Linked DNA regions of Astyanax mexicanus. The protein of the gene in region 2 interacts with the protein of the main gene of each other region in a pairwise test. Links are inferred from orthologs where the notes say so. Each region holds a gene or a part of one and is shown on either strand. Other genes may lie near its edges.

What was found.
Region 1: the proteins of rad54b (region 2) and ribc2 interact in a two-hybrid assay, tested with the Homo sapiens proteins (2 studies listed by BioGRID and IntAct). The two-hybrid records come from large-scale screens. The link is inferred for Astyanax mexicanus from reciprocal best matches to the Homo sapiens genes RAD54B and RIBC2.

Annotation. Positions count from the first base shown.
Region 1 is NC_064417.1:4,631,384-4,644,671, reverse strand, and holds ribc2 (RIB43A-like with coiled-coils protein 2), read right to left. Parts: upstream 5,765-13,288; 5' UTR 5,679-5,764; coding exon 5,562-5,678; intron 4,868-5,561; coding exon 4,786-4,867; intron 4,198-4,785; coding exon 3,886-4,197; intron 3,390-3,885; coding exon 3,271-3,389; intron 3,141-3,270; coding exon 2,913-3,140; intron 1,868-2,912; coding exon 1,701-1,867; intron 721-1,700; coding exon 639-720; 3' UTR 591-638; downstream 1-590. Other genes in the region: probable polypeptide N-acetylgalactosaminyltransferase 8, read right to left, coding at 8,551-8,685, 9,449-9,616, 10,472-10,567, 10,757-10,894, 11,622-11,807, 11,896-12,010, 12,833-13,030. UniProt on the Homo sapiens protein: Microtubule inner protein (MIP) part of the dynein-decorated doublet microtubules (DMTs) in cilia axoneme, which is required for motile cilia beating.
Region 2 is NC_064408.1:109,699,589-109,711,955, reverse strand, and holds the start of rad54b (DNA repair and recombination protein RAD54B), read right to left. Parts: upstream 4,831-12,367; 5' UTR 4,721-4,830; intron 4,678-4,720; exon of another isoform or gene 3,354-4,677; intron 3,046-3,353; 5' UTR 3,042-3,045; coding exon 2,931-3,041; intron 2,071-2,930; coding exon 2,026-2,070; intron 1,034-2,025; coding exon 805-1,033; intron 1-804. Other genes in the region: rnf41l (RING finger protein 151), read left to right, coding at 11,835-12,040. UniProt on the Homo sapiens protein: Involved in DNA repair and mitotic recombination. May play an active role in recombination processes in concert with other members of the RAD52 epistasis group.

The DNA.
Region 1 (13,288 bases), on a different chromosome or scaffold from region 2:
ATTTAGAAGCTACTATTTTCCAACACATTCATTTTCATGTATTTCATGGTATTTTTGTGTGTGTGATTTGTGGTTTCATTAATAGTGTATTTGGATTTTGGATAAGTACCGATCATAATACATAAGGGCAGTTGAATGTAAATATGTTTTTACATGTATCATCTCAGGGAAGCTGTAAAAAAAGCTATAAAATGCCAAAAGCATTTAAATAATTATCGTTATTCTTTAATAATAATAATCTTTTATTTTGAGGGGATTGTCGTAATTAGATCATCAGGGGAAGATCAGATTTCAGTATTTTGGTTTACAGTGTTTTGTGTCTGTCGGCTTAACAGAAATGGCAGATGTGTGTTTAGTTATCCAGTGATGGTGCCTTATGTTAATGCAACTGCAAGGCAGAGCCATAAATAATGATTGAAATTATAATTAGGCATTTTTCAAAAAGTGGAGAAAACTAGGGGGAAAAAATCATATTTTTAGAAAACAAAATAATTTCCCCCATGCAGGTTTTTGACTGCAGATTGTTTAAGAGTGTAAGAATCAAAATAACAAGCTGAACTCTTTCAATAAAGAAATTCAAAGAGACACTGTTTGTGAGTGAATCTTTATTTTTGTCTGCATGTGATTCTGTTGAATATTTACCGACTGGACGTATTGAACTGGGAGAAATAGCGCTCATTAGGGACATTGATGAAAACTTCTTTCTCAAGATGTTTCCTCCTGTAATGAAGAAAAAAAGTAATATTTTTAAAGCAGCATTATACTTGATTACCCTTTCAGCTTGGAAGTGTAATTCACTCTTAACACCACAATCATAAATATAAATCCTGTTTTGAGTGCCCCCTCATGATCAGCTGAATACATGCATTTGTTGACAAGCGGAAAGATACAGAAGCAGCATCTGATGTGAGAGAATCACGTGGGCTGAGGCAGTAGAGTAATACTTTAGTAATAGGATTGTGCAGCTTCACCAAAGTTACAATGTGCAGTAGCAGCATTTTAAAACCAGAATGGGAATGACTGCTGCTAATATAATGTTGCTTTAAAGGAGAACTCCGGTGTGAAATTGATGTTTGGTGTAGTAAAGCATGATAAAGAGTACCTACCTTTGTTGAATAGCCCACCTCCGCTCTCCTGCAGCTTTCCGGGATCCAATATTTTTTTTACAGTTCGTGCAAACATGCTTTAGAATGGATGATATGGGGCATATGTTGCCCCTGCAGATAAATCGCTTTTTACACCATTATCCAGCTCAAAGCTCAAAGCTCCGGATTCTACCAAGGAGGTGTGGAGCTACTTTGAGCTTGGATAACGGTGTAAAAAGCGATCTCTTTGGGCAAAATATGACCCAATACGGCTGGGCAAAAGACACAAAATTCTCAGTTGTATCTCAGAAAGCTGTAGGAGAGCTGTGGTGGGCTATTTAACAAAGGATAGTTACTTTTTATCATGTTTTATTATTACTACCAAGGTAAATTTTACACCAGAGTTCTCCTTTAACCAGACACTGTAAGCATCCAGTTCAGAACTGTGCAATAGGAAAGAAAGATTTAAATTTGGACTTAGATATCTGAACAAAAACTGACAATATTTATAATGTTGTAATAAATTTATGAGATGAAAGACCGTCTACAGCTGGGTCAGCCTTGAGTTGTCTACAGCATTGTTTAGAGTAAAGTGTGTGTGTGTGAGTTACTCACTGTGCATGCTGGGCCTGGGCTAGCAGAGCGTTGGTGTTATCCAGAGATCTGCGAAGCTCCTTGCTGATGCGCGCCTGCTGTCTCTCCAGCAGCAGAGCAGCTCGAGCTGAAGCCAAACGCTCACGATCCTGCTGCAGATCCTCCTCCTGCTGCTCCAGACGAACACGCTAAAACACACACACAAACGACTGTCAGACAAAATTAAAGACACTTCAAGAGTTTCTCTGAGTGATGCCAGCAGCACTGCAGTGTCTGATCCACTCAGACCAGCACAACACACACTAAAGCCCTATCCGGACGGGATTAGTTTCTCCGGGGGACTTCTACTCAGTGATAAAACTCTTGCATCCGAACTGCAATTGAAAAAACGGGAGGACCAGTGAGTTTTTAGGCTTTCTTGGTCACATGACATCACGTTCAGTAGCTCCTCCATTTCCACTTGCTGTTGTGTTTACATGGATCTCTTTGGAAACGCGCGCCCAAAGTGTAATTATGGTGCGTGGCAGTGGGCAGTGGACAAATAGCTATTTTATTAAACACTTGGTGACGAAACTCAGAGATGTGCGTCCGGACAGGACTAAAATTACTGGAAGACCACGGAGTTCAGCGAAAAACAGTAGGTAATTTAGCCTGTAGTTTTCAGAGGACATCAAAGGTCATTCCAGAAGGGAATAAAATCACAGAAGACCCCCCCATAAAAGAGAAAATTTCCCCAGGACCCCCTGAGAAACTAATCCTGTCCGAATAGGGCTTAACACATCTTATACCACCATGTCAGTGCAGTCTCTGCAGTGCTAAAAATAATAACCCAACACCCAAATATAGTATGAAAAACAATTGTAGAGACAAGAAGGTTGTTATAATATTCTGACCGGGTTGTGTATAAATGTATATACAGTGTGTTATTGTATTATTATTAATATCTACTTTTGATATATTTATTTAATTTTAATATGTGCTTATATATTATATAATTTGTATGACTATTTACTATTATATTTAGCAACTATACTGTTATTCTGCGTTATAATTATTATTGTTATTATTATTTTTATTATTATTATAGGCACTTTCTTCGCCTCACTTCTTGTTTTGTACTGTAAAGATGTCAGTAATTTTGCGCTTCCACTATTTGTGTGTGTGTGTGTGTGTGTGTGCGTGATTTAACCATAAATACATTCTAATTTGATCCTAAAGGTACTCGTGACTCACCCTCCTGTCCTCGGCTTGCTGCTTCTGGTAGTTGCTGTAGTGCAGTAGCTGCTGGGGGGTCATGCCCTTATAGCAGTCCCTGCGCAGTCTGGGACGTCCAGGCACTCGGCTGCTCTGCTCGATGCTCTCGTTCAGCAGTTCCCCCTGCAGCTGGTTCAGGATCTCCACCTGGTTGTTCTCCTCTTCCTCTCGGCGTTGCCTCTCTCTCTGTTCAGATCTTTCGGCAGCCTGTAGATAATGACCGACTGAATGATTTTAGGGCTTATACTTAAATGCGTATACTGACAATTACAGTAGCAATGATTTAGAACTTTCTGTAAACTTGGCTTCTTACTTAAAGTTACAACACTGGACTCACCAGAGCTAGATTGAAGTTCTTGATGGCGATGGTATTGGCTCTCTTGTGCTCTTCCTCCATCTTTTGCAGCTCGACAGCTCTGCTGTCCAGAGCTACTCGGCTTTGGTCATACTGTAGATCTGTTGAAGACGGCAGATGATCAGCGTTATTTTGTTTTTTATATAAATTAATTTACATTGTTTTCCATTTTCTCCCAATTTAGCTAGGCCAATTATGCTACCCATTTAGCTTCTACTCAGTTCTACTCATCCCTCTGACACATTTTTAGTCAGCCACCGCCTCTTTTTTAACTGAACTGCCGAGTAGCATCACAGAGTGCTTAGAAAAAAAGCGCAGCGACTCTATTATGACACATCAGCTCACAGATGCCTTGTGCTGACTGATATCACCCCAAGAGTGATGAGGGGAAATAGAGCCATCTACACACCCAAACAGTGCAAGGTCAATTGTGCTCTCTCAGGGCTCTGGCAGCTGATGGCAAGCTGCATGAACAGGATTCGAACCTGTGATCTCACGATCATAGAGTCAGCGCTTTAGACCACTGGGCCACAAATACAGATAACTGTATTTTGTGCTAAAGTGCCCCTAGCACAGTTCAACATGGTGTAGCTCTACCTTCTTGTTTCTGCTGCTCTTCTGTCTGCTCCAGCTCTTGCTGCTGCTGGATGGACCAGTCCCTCAGCTGCTCTCTCTGCCGCTGTGCTCTGTCTCTGCTGGCTAGATCCTCCCCAGCCAACCCAGGCAAAATGCGCACACCGTCCTGCTTCTTCAGGAACTCAGAGTCGTTCAGGTCGAACTCCCGTCTGCTGCTGGGATGCTGGAAACGACTCCGGAACTGCACAATGGCCTCTTCCAGCAGACGTTCATCTTTCTTCTGCCTGTGCTCCAGTACGCATGCTGTCTGGTCACTGCGTATGAGCTTATCCACTTTTGGGACAAAGAAAGATAAAACAGAAAGATCAGACAAAGGTTTGCATTTTTTTGCTAATGAATCAATTGTTTGTCTGTTCTAACATCTATTATTAAATACATTACCACACAAAACATGTGTGGACATCTCTTCTAATGTATGCATTCACGTACATTTTTATAGATGACTTGCTGACACAGATAAAAATGAACTTTAACCTGTCAGGTGTGGGCTAAAGGGGTATAAAGCCCTGAAAAATTGAGCTATTAAGCAGTGAAACTCTCTTTTATTTTTTATATTTTTTACCACCCTTAATTCCAGAAAAAAACATCTATGAATGAGCAGCTGTGCCAATACTTTCATGATCAGATATAGTATAAGATATGACACAAGAGTATTTTGTGTGGTTTCTTTATTTTTGGTTTATTTTGGTCTACAATAATATATTTATATAAAATAAAATAATAACGACACATTCCTGTGAAGCTGAAAAAAGACAAATCAGAATAAAATGAATCTGCAGTATTTTTAAATAAACAAGTAATAATTATTACATAAAATAAAGTTAATTAAGCAAATCTTTAAAAGCTTTACCAAAATCTTACCATATTCCTTTAGCGCTCTTGCCTCAGCTTGTTCTTTATCCCTTCTTTCCTTCACTTGAAGTTCAAGAGCTTCCTTATCAACCTAGTGCAAGACAACAAAATTTTACATAAATGTTAAAGCTTATAAAATATTATTAGGTTTATCACTGGTTTTCTTATGATGACTCTTCCATGAAGGCCATATTTGTGAAGGTGTTGCGGAACAGTAGAACACATTACCTTTAACTCCAGAGTCTGCTAAATCTTACAGAAGGTCTTTTTCAGTCAAGAAGAGCTTCTGATTTGCCTTTCTAGCAATCCCAAGAGCGCCTGTTCCTGAAATTTCTTTTGGTCTTGTAAACTATATCTTAATCTCCATTGTTCCTGTTAACTGACACTTCTCAATGTTAACCTGAAAATGCTTAAAACTCGATATATTGTAAGACAATTCTCTATGATACTTTACGGAATACTTCTAAATACTTATACTCAGAACTTTACCTATGAAGTGTGGAGCTACTTTGAGTTTGAGTTTACTGGTTTTAGCTTCGGCTAAAAGCGCTGTTTTTCAGAATGCTGGGCTGAACAGAGGTGGGCTATTCGACAAAAGTGTGTACTCATTATCATGTTTCACTGCACCCCAAGTCCATTTTTACACCAGACTTCTCCTTTAACTACATGATAACTATATAAACACGATAATTACATTATCAACTTAACATGCAATAAATAGACATGATCTCATATATATTTCATAATTATCATCACATAACCGGGGAACTAAAGCTCAGACTTACTCCGATTGTTCGCAGTTTGGCGTTAAAAACCCGCTCTTTCCGCAGGAGTTCCCGGGTTTGTCTCTGGTCCAGGTGAGCGGCTGAGAGGCGGTCTGATGGGAGCTGGACGGGGTTCATGTCTGCGGGCGGCGGTTCAGCTCAGCTCCGCTATTCAGCTCCGTCCGTCCGCACAGCAGCAGCAGCAGCAGCACTGTAAACACTGCGTTACTAAGCAACCCAGATAAAAACCGCACGCGACCCCTGCCTTTCCTTATTTATATATACAGCTCTGTAACAAAATAAGAGACCACTTCCGTTTCTGAATCATTTTCTCTAATTTTGCTATTTATAGGTTTATGTTTGAGTAAAATGAATATTGTTGTTTTATTCTATAAACTACAGACAATATTTCTCCCAAATTCCAAATAAAAATATTGTCATGTAGAGCATTTATTTTCAGATAATGAGAAATGGCTGAAATAACAAAAAAAGATGCAGAGCTTTCAGACCTCAAATAATGCAGAGAAGTTTTAACAGTTCAAAAATCAATCAATATTTGTTGGAATAACCCTGGTTTTTAATCAGTTTTCATGCATCTTGGCATCATGTTCTCCTCCACCAGTCTTACACATTGCTTTCGGATAACTTTACGCTACTCCTGGTGCAAAAATTCAAGCAGTTTAGATTGATTTGATGGCTTGTGATCATCAATCCTTATATCCTCTTGATAATATTCCAGAGGTTTTCAATTGGGTAAAATAAAAAAAATCATCTTCAATTCATCTCTAAAAAGGAAAAAAAAAACATGTATTTGTATAATGTAAAGTAGTTATTGTAAAAATACAGTAAAAAAAATAGAGATAAATTATGGAATTTAGAAATATATAATGGTCTAATTTCATCACGTTTAAACATATATATACACCGTTTAGACCAGCATGAATGTTTCGTTAAAGTGGAGTGAAGGTCTAATTTACACTAGACTGAATAACTCTTTCTCTCTATTTTCCTTTTTCTGCTGACACTTATTTTTACTGCTCTGTGCTGTAGAAGATCCTGCAAACTAGAGATTCTCCACCGGGGGCGCCACTACTACTCAACTAGCTCTGTGTGATTATGAATCTTAATAAAACCATTAGATGGTATAACTGCTTTATCATATTATATGATAACGAGTTTATTAAATCGTAGCCATTAAGGCATGGCCAAAAGGTCATTTTGTTTCACAGCTAACAGAGCAAGCAGCTCTCAGGGGTTGTCAAAAGAATTCAACTAAATCAAAATCAGCTGTCAAAATTAACACTGATGCCACTGATTGTCTAGATAGAGTCTCTTACCTCCCAGGCGCTGACCCATCGTTCTGTTCATACCACTCTGGTCTGAAGGACTCGTACATACACCACAGCTGCCAGTCAAAAGCATGGGCAAACGTTTCATATTTAATCACATCCAGGGTGGCACATTCCACTCTATCAAACACTGGAGACAGCACCACGGTCCTGATTCTTGCCAAAAGTGGTTCTGCCCTAAAAGCACATTAGACCAAAAGTTAAATTCTGATTATAAAAATGTAACACAAGCAGCATAGCTGTTTTTGTTTCATTCAAAGTCAAAGTCAAAGTGTTTTTTATTGTCATTTCAGCTATATACAGAGTACACCAGGGACCATGGTGCACATAAACACAGTGTAGACAGAACAAAAAGTGCAACAGTACAAAAGTGCAGACAGACAATACAACACACAGACAAAGAATAATAAATATCAAGACAGTGTGCAAATTATGCAGTGTGCAAAAAAGACCAGTGAGGTAGTAATTACCTCTATTACGCAGTGTGCAATAGAGTCCAGTGAGGACTTTTAAAAACAGCTGTGAATACATTACCATAAACCACGCCCTAATAATTAAATTATTTATAATAAATTATTAATTATTAATTAATAAATAAATCCATCCATAAATCTATCCAGTTTCGACCACACGAGGATGGTTTCTTCTGTGGAGTCTTGGTTCCTCTCTAAATGATTTTTTTGCCAGTGTAATTTCTGGCTTGATCACTAGGGGGATCCATAGCCCATCTTTCTAAAGCTGCTTTATTGCACTTTATTGCAGATCTTCTTGAGAACAGATTTTCTGCAGGTTTTCACTCCAGCCCAAATCAAACCCAATTATTCAATCAAGGGATTTTAAAGACAGTCTTTATTTGGGTCAGAAGGGGTTGGATCTGAAGTGTGATGTGTGAAGGCAGCTCTTCAGGAGCAGGGATAGAGGGAACTGTTACAGAATCAAATCTCAACAAAAATAACTCTCTAAACATTTTAAGATGTTTTTTTTAAACCTTTATTTTTCCTTTTTTTCTTATATGTTCATTTCATTTGTACAATTTGATACTTGATTAACATAACATATGTAATTAGATTTCTAATAAATTATTAATTTGGAAAAGAAATGTTTAGTAAACTATACATTTAGTGCACTATTACAACTTACAGCAGACTATCGTTACCTGCCATCAAGTGAAAATGCCCAGCTAGCTCAAATATCATTTTCAAAAAGTTTAGAAAGAAATTCAGGGTGAATATACAGCACCAAAAAGTTCAAAAGTTTGGACACACCTTCTTATTCAATTTCAATATTAAATTTAAAATGGAAAACATTTTCATTCATAAAAAGAAAGAAAACACTTTGAATGAGAAGAGGTAAACATTCAAATAACACTTTATTCTTTCCACGCCCAACACTAAATACATTTTTTCCTCTAGGGAATTCAATTTCAATAAAACATAAGTAAACCCTTCAAAAATACCAATGTTCAGTAACTCAACACAGTTCTGTAAAACTGTTCACATGTACACAACAGTAAATCCCATTCTGTGCAAAAATAACAGCAATAATGGGAATATATTTTGCGATTATATTGTGCTATTAAACCATCAAAAATATCACTGATAAGTTAGACGAATAGGAGACATTTGAAAATTAGATTTTTTTTTTGGGCTCTTTTAAGATTGCTAAGCATTTTGTATCAAATGTTGTATTGTCCAGTGTTGTCCAGTGCAGTCCTGAATTATAAGATGGTAATATGAATCAGCTCCTTGGGCGATCTCAAGACACCTTTTTGTGTCTCTGTTTTTGATTGCCTGACCCTGTAGGTAAAGCAAAGAGAGATAATTAAATAGACATTGATTAAAATTCATTAATATTAAATCTTAGTACTTAAAACATCAAGTACACATATAAATACATAAATGAATCATTTTAAGATTTATGGATAATTTTCGAGGCAGTTTGGAAGGCTAATTACACAACCCTTTTTCCTATAAGCTCTCGCTCTCACTGGCAATGCCCCAACACATCTCTGGGTAGCCAAAATGCTACACACACATCACACTAGGGGTGAGAAAAGAAATGAACTCAAACTAAGCCCTGAGAGAGCTAGACTGATTGCACACTTTTAGATTCTTTTCTAATGGCAAGCAGCAAGATCCAGGATTCAAACCAGCGATCTCCTCAGATCATTGTGTCAAAGTCTTATAAGTACATTATGAAATTATTTGGAGAAAAATGAATAAAATGTATAGACTTTTTCGCACTATAAGGCGCCCTGTCAATAAACGTCTATTTTTTGGTCTATTTTCTTACACAAGGCACAATAGATTATAAGGCAATCAGGGATAATTATCAGGGATGTCCTGCTATGGGTGGCAAATATGTAACAGGGCTGGACTTTAAATCTAAATCCTGTTTGCTTTCTTCAACTTTCCTTGGCTTTAGGATGGCCCTTTAATATAAAAGTGCTCCATCTTTATTCCTGTTTCACTCAGCAGGTTAATGTTTGGCCACTTAACCAAATTCCACTAATTTACAAAGCTTCCTGTCATCAGTTAACCCGTTCAGCAGAGTACATACCTGTTTAAAGTCCCAGTGCATGTGTAACCCTTTCTCCTTGGCTATTTTGCAGTCATGCAGTCCCGGTGTGTGTCCTTCCCCAGGATCCACCAGACAACGATTATTATTGTACTTGTGGGATTTGATGCCTCCAATGTAAATCTCCCCTCTACGCCTGTAGTAACAGCTCTGTATAAAAAATGCATATATGAAATTCCGATTAATCAAGTAGTTAATAAAAAAACATGAGTTTAATCCTATGTGAAAAATTGGGGGACAAGTGGGAGAGTGTACCCTTGTGGTACAGGTATTTCTTCTTCTTATGACACAAATATTTGATGTCTTCAATAAGAGAAGGAAAATCCTTTTAACTTTCAGTGGAAAGTCAGTAAATGAAGATTTTTTAAGCATTTTTCTTGGTCTGTTGTATTGGAAAATTGGAAAACTGCCAGATTCACACTATGCCCAAACATAAAAATCTGAAAATTTGAAGTATCAAGGTTTTTGTGCAACAGGGACAATTTTCCATGTGAGAATACTTTGAAGTGGCAATAAAAAACTAAGTATTGATCAAATGCTGTAAAGTAAGCTGTCAGACAGTTTGACAAAGTCTGGAAGCCCATTCCAGCCAGATAAAAGAGAAATAATAATAAAATTAAAATCTTGTTAGACAATTTTTTTTGTCTGAAAGTGTTAAACTCAAGTTTATTCTAATATCTTAAAAAAATAACTGAATATCCAATGTGACTGCAAATGGGCCAAATGCTAAAACAGAAAAACACACACAAGTTGTCCTTTCTCAGTAACCCAAACATCCACCCAGAGCAACTCCTTAGATGTTACTCGAAAATGTCCTTACAGTATATTCACTCTCTTTTAAAAGTTAATTAATCAAACCAAATAATACAAATAAATATGTCAGATGTACAAATGTAATTTTGCCATGCCAATTTCCATGATATATTTCTTTTCATACAAATTATGCAAATTAAAAGACTCTTCAGTCCTCATTAACTGTCTAAATTTTTTAATCAAAGTGCATACCTGTGGGCCATAGAAATGGCATTGATACAGAATAGGAACACTCCCAGGAACAGGTCCCTGATCAATGCAGTTTTTCTCTGATAAGTCATTCCGCAACTGTAAAAGGTCAAAAACAGAAAATCACTTAAGTCTACTGGCTGGAAGTGCAATTCTTAATGAATTAGATTTATTATGCTAGTTCCTACAGAAGCTAAATCATGATGTACATTTTATTATGCAACCAGAGGCATCATTCCTAAAATACCTTTAATACGTAAATTAGAGTAGAAAATAAAATTTCCTTACAGCACCGTAACCAACGAGATCCTCCCAGGTGTCAAGCTGAGGATACACATTGTCCATGTACCATTTGAAAGGCTTGCAATTGAGTCTCTCTCTCAGCTTCTTTCTCTCCGTTACGTCCCCAATATCAATTCCATGATCCTAAAAAAAGGGACAGTTGTATTATTCTGAGGTAACACAGCAGTGTCTATGTTACAGATAAGGTTTTATTATATAAATTAAATAATCAATCAATCATTTTGTTTAACCAGTCCCTCACCACACACTCTAAGAGCTCATACAGTAGTGAGTATACCCCTCACACTTCTGCAGATATTTTATTATATATATTTTCATAGGACAACTTTTTAGAAATTAACTTGTCACATCACACAGACATTAATGTGTATTTGTCCATGTTCAATTGTGCCCAAAGTGTTGATATTTAGTGTGACCACCATTATCTGCCTTAATCCTTTTGGGCATAGAATTCATGGAGTGGCATAGGTTACAGCTGAAAACCTCTTCCAACTCCTGATGATCTATAAAGCTGTTGTTTGTTAGACACCTTGCACTCTTTCACCTTCTTCTTAACTGGGTTTAGTCACAATACGTGTTGAAATTTAGGTCCCCGGTGACGGCAGCACTCATGCAGCTCCAGAATATGATGCTACCGCCACCATGCTTTACTGTAAGCAAGGAACAATTGTCTTGTTACTCCTTAACCAATGCATCACCATGCATGCTGGACACCATCTGAGCCAAACCAGCTAAAAAAAAACCTCATAAACACACTCCTAAACCTTGTGGAAAGCCTTCCTATAAGATTTTAAGTTGTTAGAGCTGAAAGTCATATTAAACCTTAAAGATTAATAATAGGATTACACACCTTCAAGGGGAGATTCCAGCTAATAAGAACATTTCTTTTATATTCATCCATCCAGACTTCAGCCACCCTTAACGCATTTCTTTTCAGTGGTATGCTCAGATCTCGTGCATACGGCTTATGCGCTCTCTCTATGTGGGCGATCTTGGAGCATGGGATAATTTCAATGCTTCCTCCACAGGTCCAAACCTAAAACAGAGCATAGACCAGACTAAATATAGTGTCGCAGCGTGTAACATTGTTGTACTGCGGTGAAAAGAGACAAGTAACAACCTACTCGTATTCCCAGTTCAACGTTCTCTCCACCATAAACTAGCATTCCTTCATCCAGTACTCCAATTTCTCCCAGGAATTTCCGATCAGCCACGAGGATTCCCATGACGGATGGACTCCTACAAAATATTGACATGTGTTAATGAGCTGGTCAGGGTTATTAACCATCAACACACAGAACTACTTGAGTACAACAAACTAATTTAACCATCTAAAACACTAAAAATGCACTAAAAAAGATTTTATTAAGAATTTATTTTATTATTTCAATTTCCCCCATTTTCTCCCAATTCATCTGTCTAATTGTCACACCCATTCAACTGCAGCTACATATCCCCTATCACTAGTGATGCCACAAGTCAGCAGCTGCCTCTTTTTGAACTGCTGCTGATGCCAAGTCGCAGCACGGTGCACTCAGAGGAAAGTGTAGTGTCTCGGTTCTGATACATCAGTTCACAGATGTCTTGTGCTGATCGACATCACCCTATAAGTGATGACTTCACATGTATCGGAGTAGGCATGTGTTATTCTTCACCCTCCTGGTGTTGTGGCATCACTAGTGATAGGGAGAGTCCTAATGAGTGGGTTGGGTAATTGACCATATAAAGTGGGGAGAAAATAGTAAAAACTTAGAAGGAAAAAAAAAACCTGTTGACACTGTTGACATTATTTGTACGAACCTCTATACCTCAAATAAAACGAAGGTGACCAGGCAAAACACAAGAATTGTTGGTTCAATGGAAATGGAAAATGCAAGAAACATCTTTTTATTTATTTGTGTTTTCCATATTGTCCCAACTTTTTTTCTGATTTGGGATTGTACAAACAGATAACTGAGGTAACTTTTGTTAGCTATGTTAACTTGCAGTTTGTATGTTAACTCCAGTATACAAGATTTTTAGATAGATTTCTGATGTAAGGTGATGCCAAGTGTGACTTACTTCCCAGGAGCGCTATCGTCCTTCAGTTCATACCACTCTGGCCTGAAGGACTCGTACATACACCAAAGCTGCCAGTCAAAAGCATGGGCAGATGTTCCATATTTAATCACCTCTAGGGTGTCGTAGTCCACTCTATCAAACACTGGAGACAGCACCACCGTCCTGTCATCTTTGATTCTTGCCAGTAGTGGTTCTGCCCTGAAAGAACAGTAGACCAAAAATTAAACTCTGACTAGTACTGACTAATAGTTCTATGGGCAGTTTGGCCCAATCCCAATTCACCCCTTGGCCCTACCATTTAGTCCTAAGTAGAGTTAGGGCTACATGGCTCTTCAAATTGAGCTTTTTCAAAGACATACTTAAAACAGAGGAATGAAAAGAAGAAACTGACTAACTTGAGTATTTTTCATGTTAAAAAAATATTATAACAACTATATTACTACTGTTTAAAGCCTA
Region 2 (12,367 bases):
TTAATATAAATTAACTTTTAATACGCTGAATCAAAGCAAAATTAATGTGCACAAATAAACTAATTCTAACGTTGGAGATGAACGTTGATTTAACAAATGTTTGCTCTCTGGGATGGGTAATTTGAGAATTGAATAATACCAAACATATTACATGTTCTGCTTAGTTTATTTCTTACCCAAGATACCCAGTTTTACAATCAACTTGAAAAATAGGTAATTTCAGAAAAAAAATATGTATATATTTTTTTATTAATTATTTATCATTTATGTTTGTCCCAGTGTACAGAACAGTTCTGTTTGTCCTACAATAAAAAAAACATAAAAAGATTTGTCCTTCACCCACTGATGTAAGTTCCCTTGTGAAATGTGAATACTTGCTGATTAAATCTCCCATTTAATCTTTAGTATGGTAAAATGGTGAAAATCCATAAAAGTCTGTCTTTAGGTGTACAGTGTGGAATCTAGGCAGCAAAGTATCATATCTACGTGCATAACAGTGTCCCTATAAAAATGCAACACAGCAAGAAATAAATACAATATCCCATCCAATTAATTGGATCAGTGGACTGGTCACTGAAAAGAGGCTTCTTCAAAATATGGAAGTATGAAAAACACTCTTTAAAGAGAATGAAAGGTTTCTCTCTTCAAGACTGCCATTTGGTTCCAACTCATCAACTCATTCAACTCAACTAGTCAAAAACAAACACCTACTTCTTTCCATCCACAAACAATAAACTCTTAATTAAAAGTGCTTTTTTGCTTGGTCTGTGAACTAAACTAAACAATAAACATACTGCATCTTACCAGCTGGAGAGGTTGTGTCTGTGTGCTTTTTAAGCTGATCCTGTCGGTTTGGTTTGGGAGACTCCAGGTGTTGTTCTGATTCCAGGGGGACCCTCTGTAATTCCGGGGCATTTTCTTTACTCTCGGTCGGGGTGACTGCACTTAGAACCTTGGCTAAGGCTTTACACACCCCAGAGACTTTGGGCACAGCTGGAACATCAACAGTCCTCTCAGACAAGCTTATCTGGACCTGCAAAGAAAAGGCATTTATTGTTTATTTTTTAGACTCAATCCGTATATTACTTGCAAATAGGCGATTAGGTTATAATACTGTCTTTAAACCCTCTTTTTCTCATACATCCAAGAAAAAGACAACTACATTAGGTTAATGCTATTTAATGATATAGATAGATAGTTATATCAGGAGCTAATTTAAAGATACATTTATAACAACAGTCTGCAGTCTACACAATCATCATCATCAGAAATCATACATTGTCAATTTGTGATCTTATTATTATAGTTTGGACTGAGTGTTCAGATGTTTGTAAGTGATGCAAAACAAAAAATGCAGTAACTTCACTGGTAGTGTTTTGTTAAAATTCAAAGGAATTTAAGATGTCTCATATCATTAAGTAATTTTACCTGAAAATTACATAGTTAAACAGAGGCAGTGGATTTTTAAAATGCAATGTAACAAGTGAATAAAGTGGGAAAAAGTGAAACAGATCAAAAAAGTGAAAAAAAAAATGTAGTATCACTTAAACTGTCAAAATAATTCTTGTTTAAAATAAAGGCTTTAATTGCACATTGTTGAACTCCAACTTTTTTTATCTTATATTTCAAGTACATGTACAAATATTTAATTTAAGGTAATTTTCTATTGTTTGATTCATCATAAAATTATGTTTTTACTGGTTTAACACTAGAAATAAAAAAGACTTTACCCTTTTTTACATGTGCAAGAAGATTATTAAAGGTGTTTAAAATGGTTTGGATTTATATTTCAAAATTCATCAAAACATGTCCTGTTTGCACAATACTTTTTATTTACTGGGAAAAAAAGGAAACAAAATGGTATACAGATTGTAAAGTGTAGCATTAAAGACCTAAACTACAACTTGGAAGTGAAATTAGTTACACTCTCGAGGTGTAAGTATGACATTTTTAAATGACAAAAGCCAATCAAACATTTGCTCCGATGACAGAGAATAAGTTATTTTAAAAAAAATAATTACTGACCTCAGGTGCAGGAACATGGCTCTCCACTCTCTGAGACTGGTGATGCTGTTGCAAGAAGTAAAAAACATGGATGGGGTATTATGGTATGTGGCTATTTTTGAAAAATTAAATACTCATTATTAATAACAAACATTTATATATGCTTAATTCTAAAATATATTGTTTAAAATAATTTTCTATGCTGCTTAGTTTAGAATATAAATTCAGTCTCAGATTTCATGCAAGTGCACATCAGGCCTCCAGACAAACTTTTTTCACAACTTTCCCAGATTTGCCTGAAGCGTTCTATCATGCTCTCCCACAAACTAATAATCATAATCATTCCCAAAATATATTTTTTGACATTACACTTTATTGTTGTATTCATTGTGTATTGTCGTTGTATTAATCTGCATATTATTCTACTGCCATAACATCTTTGGTTAGACTTCATCTTCTAGGCATCATCTCCTGGTGTTACCAGCAACCTGACTGGCTCTATGTTGAAATGTGGGAATGTATCTGTAAACAGATTCTGTGCTAAGTATTAGGAAAATTTCATATTTCAACCAGCCAGCAATCATCTAATAAACAGCTCAAATTTGCCTTTCCAAAAGAGCTGTCCATGGGACAGTGGATTGTGTTACTTTGGAGACCTGGTACATGCCTAGTGAAGTAAACTGGGTTAAAACAACATAAACCTGAAGTACACTGAAGTATACACTGAAGTATCCTGTCAAATCAGATGCTATGCACCTTTGAAATGCAATCCATGTAACAGAGTAAAAAAACGAACTAATTTACTATCAGCTCTTTACCTGACCACCTGGATTTTTTTGTCATGTAAAAGACATTACTGAACCCATATCAGCATTCATACACTGAGATAGCCTATCAACTTTTCCTAAAATCCTTAGTTAGCTTACCTTGTTAATTCCATTGCCCAGTACTCCAGTCTGTGAGGGGGCAGGAGGTATAAACCTCGGCCTCTTCACAGCATTGCCCTGAAGCTGACTGGGGGCTGCAGAGCGGCGCATAATGCTGAGATAAAACACATCAAAACTGTTAAGTTTGTGCCAAGTTTTAATGAATCAGTGATATTAAGAAGTCAGAATTAAGAGGTCTATTATTAATAATAGTGCTGTCAGGCGAGTAAAAAAAAAAATAATTAATTACTTGCCCTGTGAATATTAATCAAAATGAATCACATTTAAATTGCATTCATCATAAAAATATTTTAAACTGTACAGTTGAGTTGAATTTTAGCTGAGGAGCAAACAAATGAATAACTGGCATAGACGTAAAAAGCTCCCTGTGATGAACAAATGTAAATACTGTACATCTCTTACTGCACTAATCCAATTTGTTATAGATTGGTCAAGTTGGTTGTGGTGGTCATGCTGATATCACTGCTGTGCAGGGCTGCAACACAATTAGTTAATGGACATAATGGACAATACTGATTATTCAAAAAATGACGACTAATCGTTAATTTGACACTGCACTACACAAAGTGCTGGGGACAGAAACACAAATCACATTTAGCTTGGTCAACAAAAGTGGCAGACACAACAGATTACATAATGTCTTACTAAATATCAGAACAGCTGTTTAAGCAGATTTTTTTTGACAAATTGGAAAAAGAATATTTGTCAGATTAATCGACTACCAAAATAATCACTAGTTGAAACGCTAGTGCTGTGTCTAATCTACTTGTACCAGCACAACACATCACACAGTAACACATTACACAATAACACAACACACTATAACACATCACATCACACTATAATAGATCACACTATAATAGATCACACTATAACACACAATATCACATCACACAATATCACATAACAAAACATATCACACGATAACATAACACACTATAACACATCACATCACACCACACTATAATAGATCACACAATAACACATCACACAATGACATCACACTATAACACACAACAACAAATATCACATAACACATATCAACACATCACACGATAACATACAATATCACACATCATCACACTATAATAGATCACACATCCCACAATTTCATCACATCACACTATAACACTGCAGTGCTGAGACAGATCCAACACCTAAATTACAGGTTAGCTGCTCTGTGCATATCGCCCAGTCCTATCTGATGGACAACAGCTCTAAAATAGTGTGATGTGCAACAAAACATAATAAAAAAAGATGTCCACTGCAATGGATGCTAAAAGAGTCTAAAAGAGTTAAAGCCTTAATATTTGATATTAGCTAGCTATATGTACTCCTGACAGTAGAGTAACTTAAGTCACAAACCTATAATAAAGCCCAGTCATGCAAAAAACTATAAATAAATTATAATAAAAATACCGTGATAGACGGTGAAACTGTCAGAATCTTGAAGAATACCGTGATTTACATTTTTGGTCATACCGTCCAGCACTAGAATTAGCGAAGTTAAGAACTAACTAGCGAGAGTGTCAAGTGTCCTGTATGATGAGTGAGTGTATAAACTGGGAGGTGGTAACTTACAGGGGCAGCTAGGTTGCTAGCTAAACTGAAATTAGCTGCATTTTGTTGTTGTTGTTGTCAGATTGAGGAGCTAATGCTAGCTAAGATAACTACAGCTGTGAAATATATCTGTAAGAAGCAGTAAAACAGACAGCCGCTGTGAACAGCTGAAGTTTAATCGTTTTTAGATTAAAATATCGCTCACTTGCCTTTTATCGTGAAATCCTCCCGTATAAATACTACAAATGCTCAACTACAACTTCTCCGCTTACTTTAGCTCCTACCGCTGCTGGGAAACCTACACAGAGTTTCGCGCCGGGAAGACATAGCTCATCGCTGATTGGTCGAGCTTATGTTGCCAGGTCCAGCAAAACTCCTAAAAACTAACCCAACATCTATCTAATGTTGTCACAGACGTTGAAAGGAAAGAAAATGTAAATAGAAAAAAACTACTAGAACTCATTTAAAAAAGTGTACTACACTTAAAACCTCGCCTAGTAGCAAAGAACATTGAATAAACGTCAGCCTGTCACAATAAAAATAATTTGTGGACGATATACAGCTCTGGAAAAAATTAAGAGATCACTTCAGTTTCTCTGATTTCGCTATTTATAGGTATATGTTTAAGTAAAATGAACATTGTTGCTTTATTCTATAAACTACGGACAACATTTCTTCCAAATTCCAAAATATTGTAATTTAGATCATTTATTTGCAGAAAATGAGAAATGGCTGAAAAAAAAAATGCAGAGCTTTCAAACCTCAAATAATGCAAAGAAAACAAGTTTATATTCATAAAGTTTTAGAGTTCAGAAATCAATATTTGTTGGAATAACCCTGTTTTTTAATTATGGTTTTCATGCATCTTGGCATGTTCTCCTCCACCAGTCTTACACACTGCTTTTGGATAACTTTATGCCATTCCTGGTGAAAATTGTTTCAATATTTCGCTTGATTCAATTGCAGATGTTTTTTAATTTGGTAAAAGCAAAGAAACTAAGCATTTTTTTAGTAGTCTCTTTTTTTTTTTTACCGAAGTGTGTCTTCCCAGACATTTTTGTGATAAACAATATTAGACCATTAAATGTCACGGACATAGCAATAATAGAATAGCATAACACAACAATCATACTATTTTAAAGACACATTCTTTCTTTACTGCAGTCCACGCGAAGTGAATGTGTCACAGTTACTGAAGAATATTGGTCATTGCATGACTGGCTAAAATACTGTTCACTGTTATATACAGTGGTGAGAAAAAGTATTTGAAGCGTCATGATTTCTATTCATGTTTTTCACTCTATAATGTTTCAAATCATCAAACTAATTTAAATATTAGTCAAAGACAGAACAAGTGAACACAAAATACAGTTTTAAATGAAGTTTTTATTATTAAAGGAGTAAAACAATCCAATCCTACCTGACCCTTTGTGAAAAAGTGTTTGCCCCCTACATCTAATAACTGGTTATTCCACACTTAACAGCATTAACTGCAATCAAGCATTTGTGGTACCTTGCAGTGAGTCTTTCACAGTGCTGTGGAGGAATTTTGGTCCACTTTTCTTTACAGAATTGTTTTAATTTCACCACATTACAGGATTTTCTAACATGAACTGCCTTTTTTAAGTCATGTCACAGCATCTTAATAGGATTCAAGTCAAAACTTTGTTTTGCTTCAGCCATTCATAGGTGGACTTGCTGGTGTGTTTTGGATCACTGTCCTGCTGCAGAACCCAAGTTTGTTTAAGCTTGAGGTCACAAACAGATGAAAACCACAGTGATGGAAAAATCAACGATGATACAATGTCCTTTTGATATTTGGGTCTGTTAATCTTATTTTGTTTTTAAATTTAAACTCTAATTTATACATTTTTTTAAATATTTGGTTTATAATGTCATTATTGTTAGTATTGATTTTAGTTTATTATTAATAATAAGAATTAAAATGTTATATAATTATTTTACAAGGATTTTTTTTTTATAATAATTGCCGACACCTTGGCTATGGTCAGTGTTAATGAATCACCACATACAATATGTATCTATAGTTCCAGCAAAAGTGCTGTAATGATTTGTGAGTTTTTCTTGCTGTAGTTTATGATAATTACAGTTTTTTGTGTGATTGTTACTTCCTCTTATTAATAAATCTCTCTCTCTCTCTCTCTCTCTCTCTCTCTCTCTGTCTCTCTCTCTCTCTCTCTCTCTTTGGGTTTAGGATATTTTAAGGAACTTGTTTTTTTTGGTCCTAAATACTTTAATTTCTAAAAAGGAAAAAGTAGGGTTTTAAATATTATGGGATTAAAATGGCATGGGACAGCAAAGCTGGCAATTTGGTCCACAAGAAAAAACAAGATTCACGGCAGACTGATCCTGTCCTAATGGTGAAGGAACTGATTGTGAAACTTTAAATTAAAACTGATTATGACATTTTAAAAATATCCCCAGAAAACTGTGAATACCGGGAACTTGGCAACCCTTGGTCGAGCGCTGAACCGGTCCTGAAAGGGGCGGAGCGAACACAGTGTTTGTGAAGAGCAGAAACAGCATTAAAGTGTTCTGCATGCAGCATCTGAGAGGATACCAGTGTACTGGGGTCTAAATATGACAAGAAAAGACCTGGAATGTGAGGAATATTAAACCCGTGTGCAGGTAGGTGATGCATCTTTTGCATAGTCCTGCAATAAGTAGTGGTGATAGAAGTAAATAAATAAATAAATAGATAGATAAAAATAAATAAATACATAAATAAATAAGAATATATATATATGAGTATAAGTATGTGTATTGTGTGCATTTAAGCAGATACATAAAAATATATTGGTGTAATAGTGTAGTAATGCAACAGTGCAATACCCTACTGAACAATGCATTTATGTTTTGTGGTATAATGAGTGTCTGTTATGTGCACTGTGAATAAAGCAGTTGCATGCACATTAAAAATGCATGAGATCTGTAAATATGTGCAAAATCAAAATGTGAAGTTGATGCATGTAAAACAGTGGAGTCTACTACACTATATGTCTGATAATTTAACATCTGGCGTGTCTGTCTGAGAGGACACAGTTGACCGGTGCATGTTTAGAAATGCATGCATAAATCAGCTGTTGATGTCTGCTGCTGTGGCAGTGTTGCCATTGAGATTATAATCCAATCACAGTCCGGGAGGCTGTAATCCTTTGTAATCCCACCACAGCCACGAGGAGCAGAGATCATTCAGGAGATTGCAGTGAGAGTAACGGCACAGACAGACACACACACAACTGTCCTTAATAAACATGTCCTTCTCTGTTTCCCTTAAAAAACCTGTCCAGAGTGTCCACACACTGTCTTTAACTTTTCTTTAACTTTAATGAATGCCAGTCAGTGAACAGCTGCAACAGCTGCAGGTGGAGTATAACACTATAGATGACCTTTGGGCTGCAGGTTGACCTCTCGTGAGGATGACCTGGTGGTAATTAATGGTCACCTGAGTGGACACGTGCAGGATTAAATGTACAGCATGTATACCTTAAGATCCCACTCACGAGGAAGGGCCAAAGCAGAAGATCCTTCAAGGGAAATAATATAATAGAAATTCAGTATATGTAAACTATGTGTGTTTGAGGTCACAGTCATATATATATATATATATATATATATATATATATATATATATATATATATATATATATATATATATATATATATACGTATATATATACGTATATATATATATATATATATATATATATATATATATATATATATATATATATATATATATATACATAGCCCTTTGAAGACTCTATAATACTCTACTGTAAACTTATTAAATTGTTTAATACTGTTTTATCAAATGCTCTTACAGACATCAACCATCCATTTTAATTTGGCTTTTTAAAAGGCACTCTTTTAACTGCACTCGCCATGTCGGCTCAAAAGAATTCTTAAGATCATTTGTAAGGTACACGGCCAGTATAATGTTTCGCAGTTTAATTTTCTAAAGTATCAATCTAAATTAAAAAATAGAAAATTGAGTATAAAACGTAATTATTATTTTTTTCATTTAGTAGAGTGAAGAAGAACTTGGTTTTCATTCAATTTTTCAATTATATAGTTTTTCATTTCAGCCTTTGGCAAACAGAAAGAAAAAATGAAAAGGTGAATATTCCCTATAATAATATTTTCAGATTTATCTATTTATCTTGTTACAAAATACAGAAATGGAAAAAAAGCAGAAAATAAAGAAAATATATATTTTTTTAATTTTCCTGAAAATCCATTAATGAGGTGCAGAGATAATTGGAACTATAATAAACTATAAACTATAAACTAAATTATAAACTATAATTGGAAAAAATGAATGAAAACTTTCCCACCCACTATTTTTTGTAAACTGCACTACAACTCAAAATATCCATAGAAGCGAAATGCAATTAAAAATACCCAGCTCAATTTTCATGATGAATGGACCAATAGGAATGCTTAAAACTTATTTGAAATAAAATATTTGACATAGACTTCAATTAAATTGAGGGCAGTTATACATTATGTTGTTTCAGAACTGATACATTTACCAAAATGACTTGTATTTGAAATGTAGTGTATTTTCATCTAGCAAAAAAGAAAAAAGTATGTAAATGTGTGTTATGTCAGGCTCTCAAACCAATGGGAAGTTAAACGTGAATCTCTGTGTTTTTAAAAAAGTTGATCAGGTTTAATCAAGTAATCATTATAGCGATTTTTGTCATCTTGTTTTATACACTGGATTTCTCTTGGGGACGCTGGGAATTGTTTTTCAGGGAGTTGACTCGTCCCCTGTGTGTGTGTGTGTGTGTGTGTGTGTGTGTTGTGCAGGTGAAGGTAGTGGGTGTGGGGTGTTACCAGGACTACTGCAGCTACATGTGTTTATAGGAGACAGGGATTCCCAGAACAGCTCAGTGTGAGCCTATAAACATAATATTAAAATACATATTAAATGAAAACACCTTTAATATATATAAAAAAAATAGATTGCATAAACTTACCTAATTTTATTTAAAATGATCCAACTAATTGCTGCCGTGATACAGAGATCAATACACAATTCATTTTATTTAAAATGATCCAGCTAACTGCTGCTGCCATACAGAAATTAATACACAATGAGTTACATGCAAATATACATTAAATACACTACACACTTACAGGGGTGTAGAAAGTACAGATACATTACAATTAAATATTAATATGGATGCTGCATTAGAATCTAATTAAACATGGATGTATGCAGCTAGAATTAGTCTAGTTCTTTTTAATACGCCTATAATACTATGCATACTGTATATATATATATATATATATATATATATATATATATATATATATAAAAAGTAAATATTGTCAGTGTCATGCAAAAAAAAATTGTCTTGATTGCTTTTTTTTGGGGAAATTTATATCTGGAAGATGTATCAGAAGTCCATTATGAATTAAAATGAGTGAATCTTTTAATAGATAATTAAATTTACAGTTTTTAAAAATAAGGTTTTATTTCGTTTTTTGCATTAGATTTCTCCCATCATTTACTTTTTAAGAGTAAGATGCAAACAGTCTCTAATGTAACAGCGATATTATTGTACAGACAGAATAATGGTGGTTTAATTGTAAAGCTGACTCTCGGACGTGTGGAGTCTCAGTAGGTTGTACATTAGGTGAGGAATGGCCTCCTGTGAGAATAAGTTGATGTATTAAAAGGTAAGCTGACCTCACTGTCTCTAAGCTCCTCCTCCACTGAATTCTGACCCGGATAACCCTGTCCCCTGCCTCTCCATTCAACAGCTGCTGGTCCTGTAGTTCCCAGGGAAACCACCAAGCGTACCCTCCTCAACCACCATTGAAGAGCAGCAGTAGAGACAGACAGGTGTGCACCAGTTCTGACAGGTAAGAAGAGCTTTCTCATCATTTGAAAAAAAGGGTATTTTTATTCATAGGAATTGTTCTGTCAGTGTTTAGTACTACTTTGCATTATAGAACATGTAGTAAAGTGTTTTAAATAGCTATAAGCATTCTTGAGTAAGGGTTCAACTATATCGATTTTAGCATGTAAAAATTGATGGCTGTCTATTATAATACTGTTTAGTTGAGTACAATAATTTAACCTTTCCAATGAATTGCCCTTTCGTAACATACACAATAATATTGGCAACATTTTTGAATATTGTGAACAATATTATACCCTGAAATATTGTGTCATGTCACCCACCCCTAATTATCACACCAGCGTACTACTTTTGTGCTGTTTTTAGCAAAAGTAAATTCACACTGTTCTCATTTCCCATTATATATCTACTAGAGACAGATTATATCTGTCCAGTATCATTTATTTTACTTTAATCCTGAATATATGGAGAGTATTATTAGTATTATGATATTCTGGATCATTGACTTTTGTTATAAATCTGATAATAATTATTGTATTTTTTATATCTCAGTTAGGGATGTGCCATATCATTGATTTTTTTTTTTTTTTTGCAGTAGTGTATTCTTAAAATATATTTTTTTAATTCAGTCTTTTGTTATATTGCTAGTAGTATCGTTATTGCGACAATACCATGAAATATTATGAAATTATTAATATACTGTATAAAATCTTTTCTTCGTTTTGAGAAGAAACATTTTATTTCATTCACAAAGGCACTTCAAGTAACATAACATATAAAATAAAATAAAGAAAAAAATTATTTCTACAAAAATGGAAAAATGTTCAATATATTTTTATTTATTTAAACTAATAAAATATAAAACATAAATTATCAATATAATTTTTTTATGATTTTTGCAGGGAAATGAAGTGAACATAGCATCTGCAGATTTTTTTTTTGTTTTATTATTTTGTTTTAAAAGTAGCATAAAATAACTAACATATGAGAGTGATTCTATTAGTTTTTGAAGTTGTGTGGCATCCAGTGGCTCAGCGCACACTGTATTGTTGGTTGTTAGAATGGGTTCCACTAGGTATCAGAAATGACTGGAAACTTTAACTGTCAGTCAAGAAAGTGAAGCTGAGAAGAAGCTGGAATTTAGGACACAACAGCACACTGATCCAAAGCATACCTCAAACAATCAGGTCAAAGGAATGTTACAAATAATTAACTTAATATGGTATACAGACTTATGTGCATGTCAAAGTTTCTGTGCTTTTTTTGTGAATTTTTAAGGTGAACTATGAAGCAGCCATGCTTTAACATAAGCAGACATTAGTCATTATTTTTGCATACCACTGTAAATGAATAAATAATGCACCACATTTGTCACATTTTATCTCTGTTTTTCTCTCATGAATAAGTCTGTGTGTGGAGGAGCAGGATGGGGTATGACGTGGAGCGCTTCGTGGGCTATGTAAATGAGGGTCTGCTGTGCTGTGTGTGTCGGGACGTGCTGGAGGACCCTCTGCAGGCTCCGTGTGAGCATGCTTTCTGCAGCACCTGCATTCACGCCTGGCTCGTCCACCACCACAACTGCCCAGAGGACCGGCTGCCGCTGGACATCACAAACCTACGGCCGCTGTACAGGTAATTGTATCCACGTGGCACAAATTACAAACATTTAATTTTCTTAATTTGAGTGATCAGTCCAAACCTGTCCATGAAGTTGCTTATTAGTTAATTTCCCAATATTTTAAACCTGTAAAAAAATGAAGAGACCACTTCAGTTTCTGAATCAGTTTCTCTGATTTTGCTATTCATAGGTATATTTGAGTAAAATGAACAATGTTTTTTTATTCTATAAACTATGGACAACATTTCTCCCAAATAAAACTATTGTCATTCAGAGCATTTATTTGCAGAATACTGGCATCTTGGCATGTTCTCCTCCACCAGTCTTACACACTGCTTTAA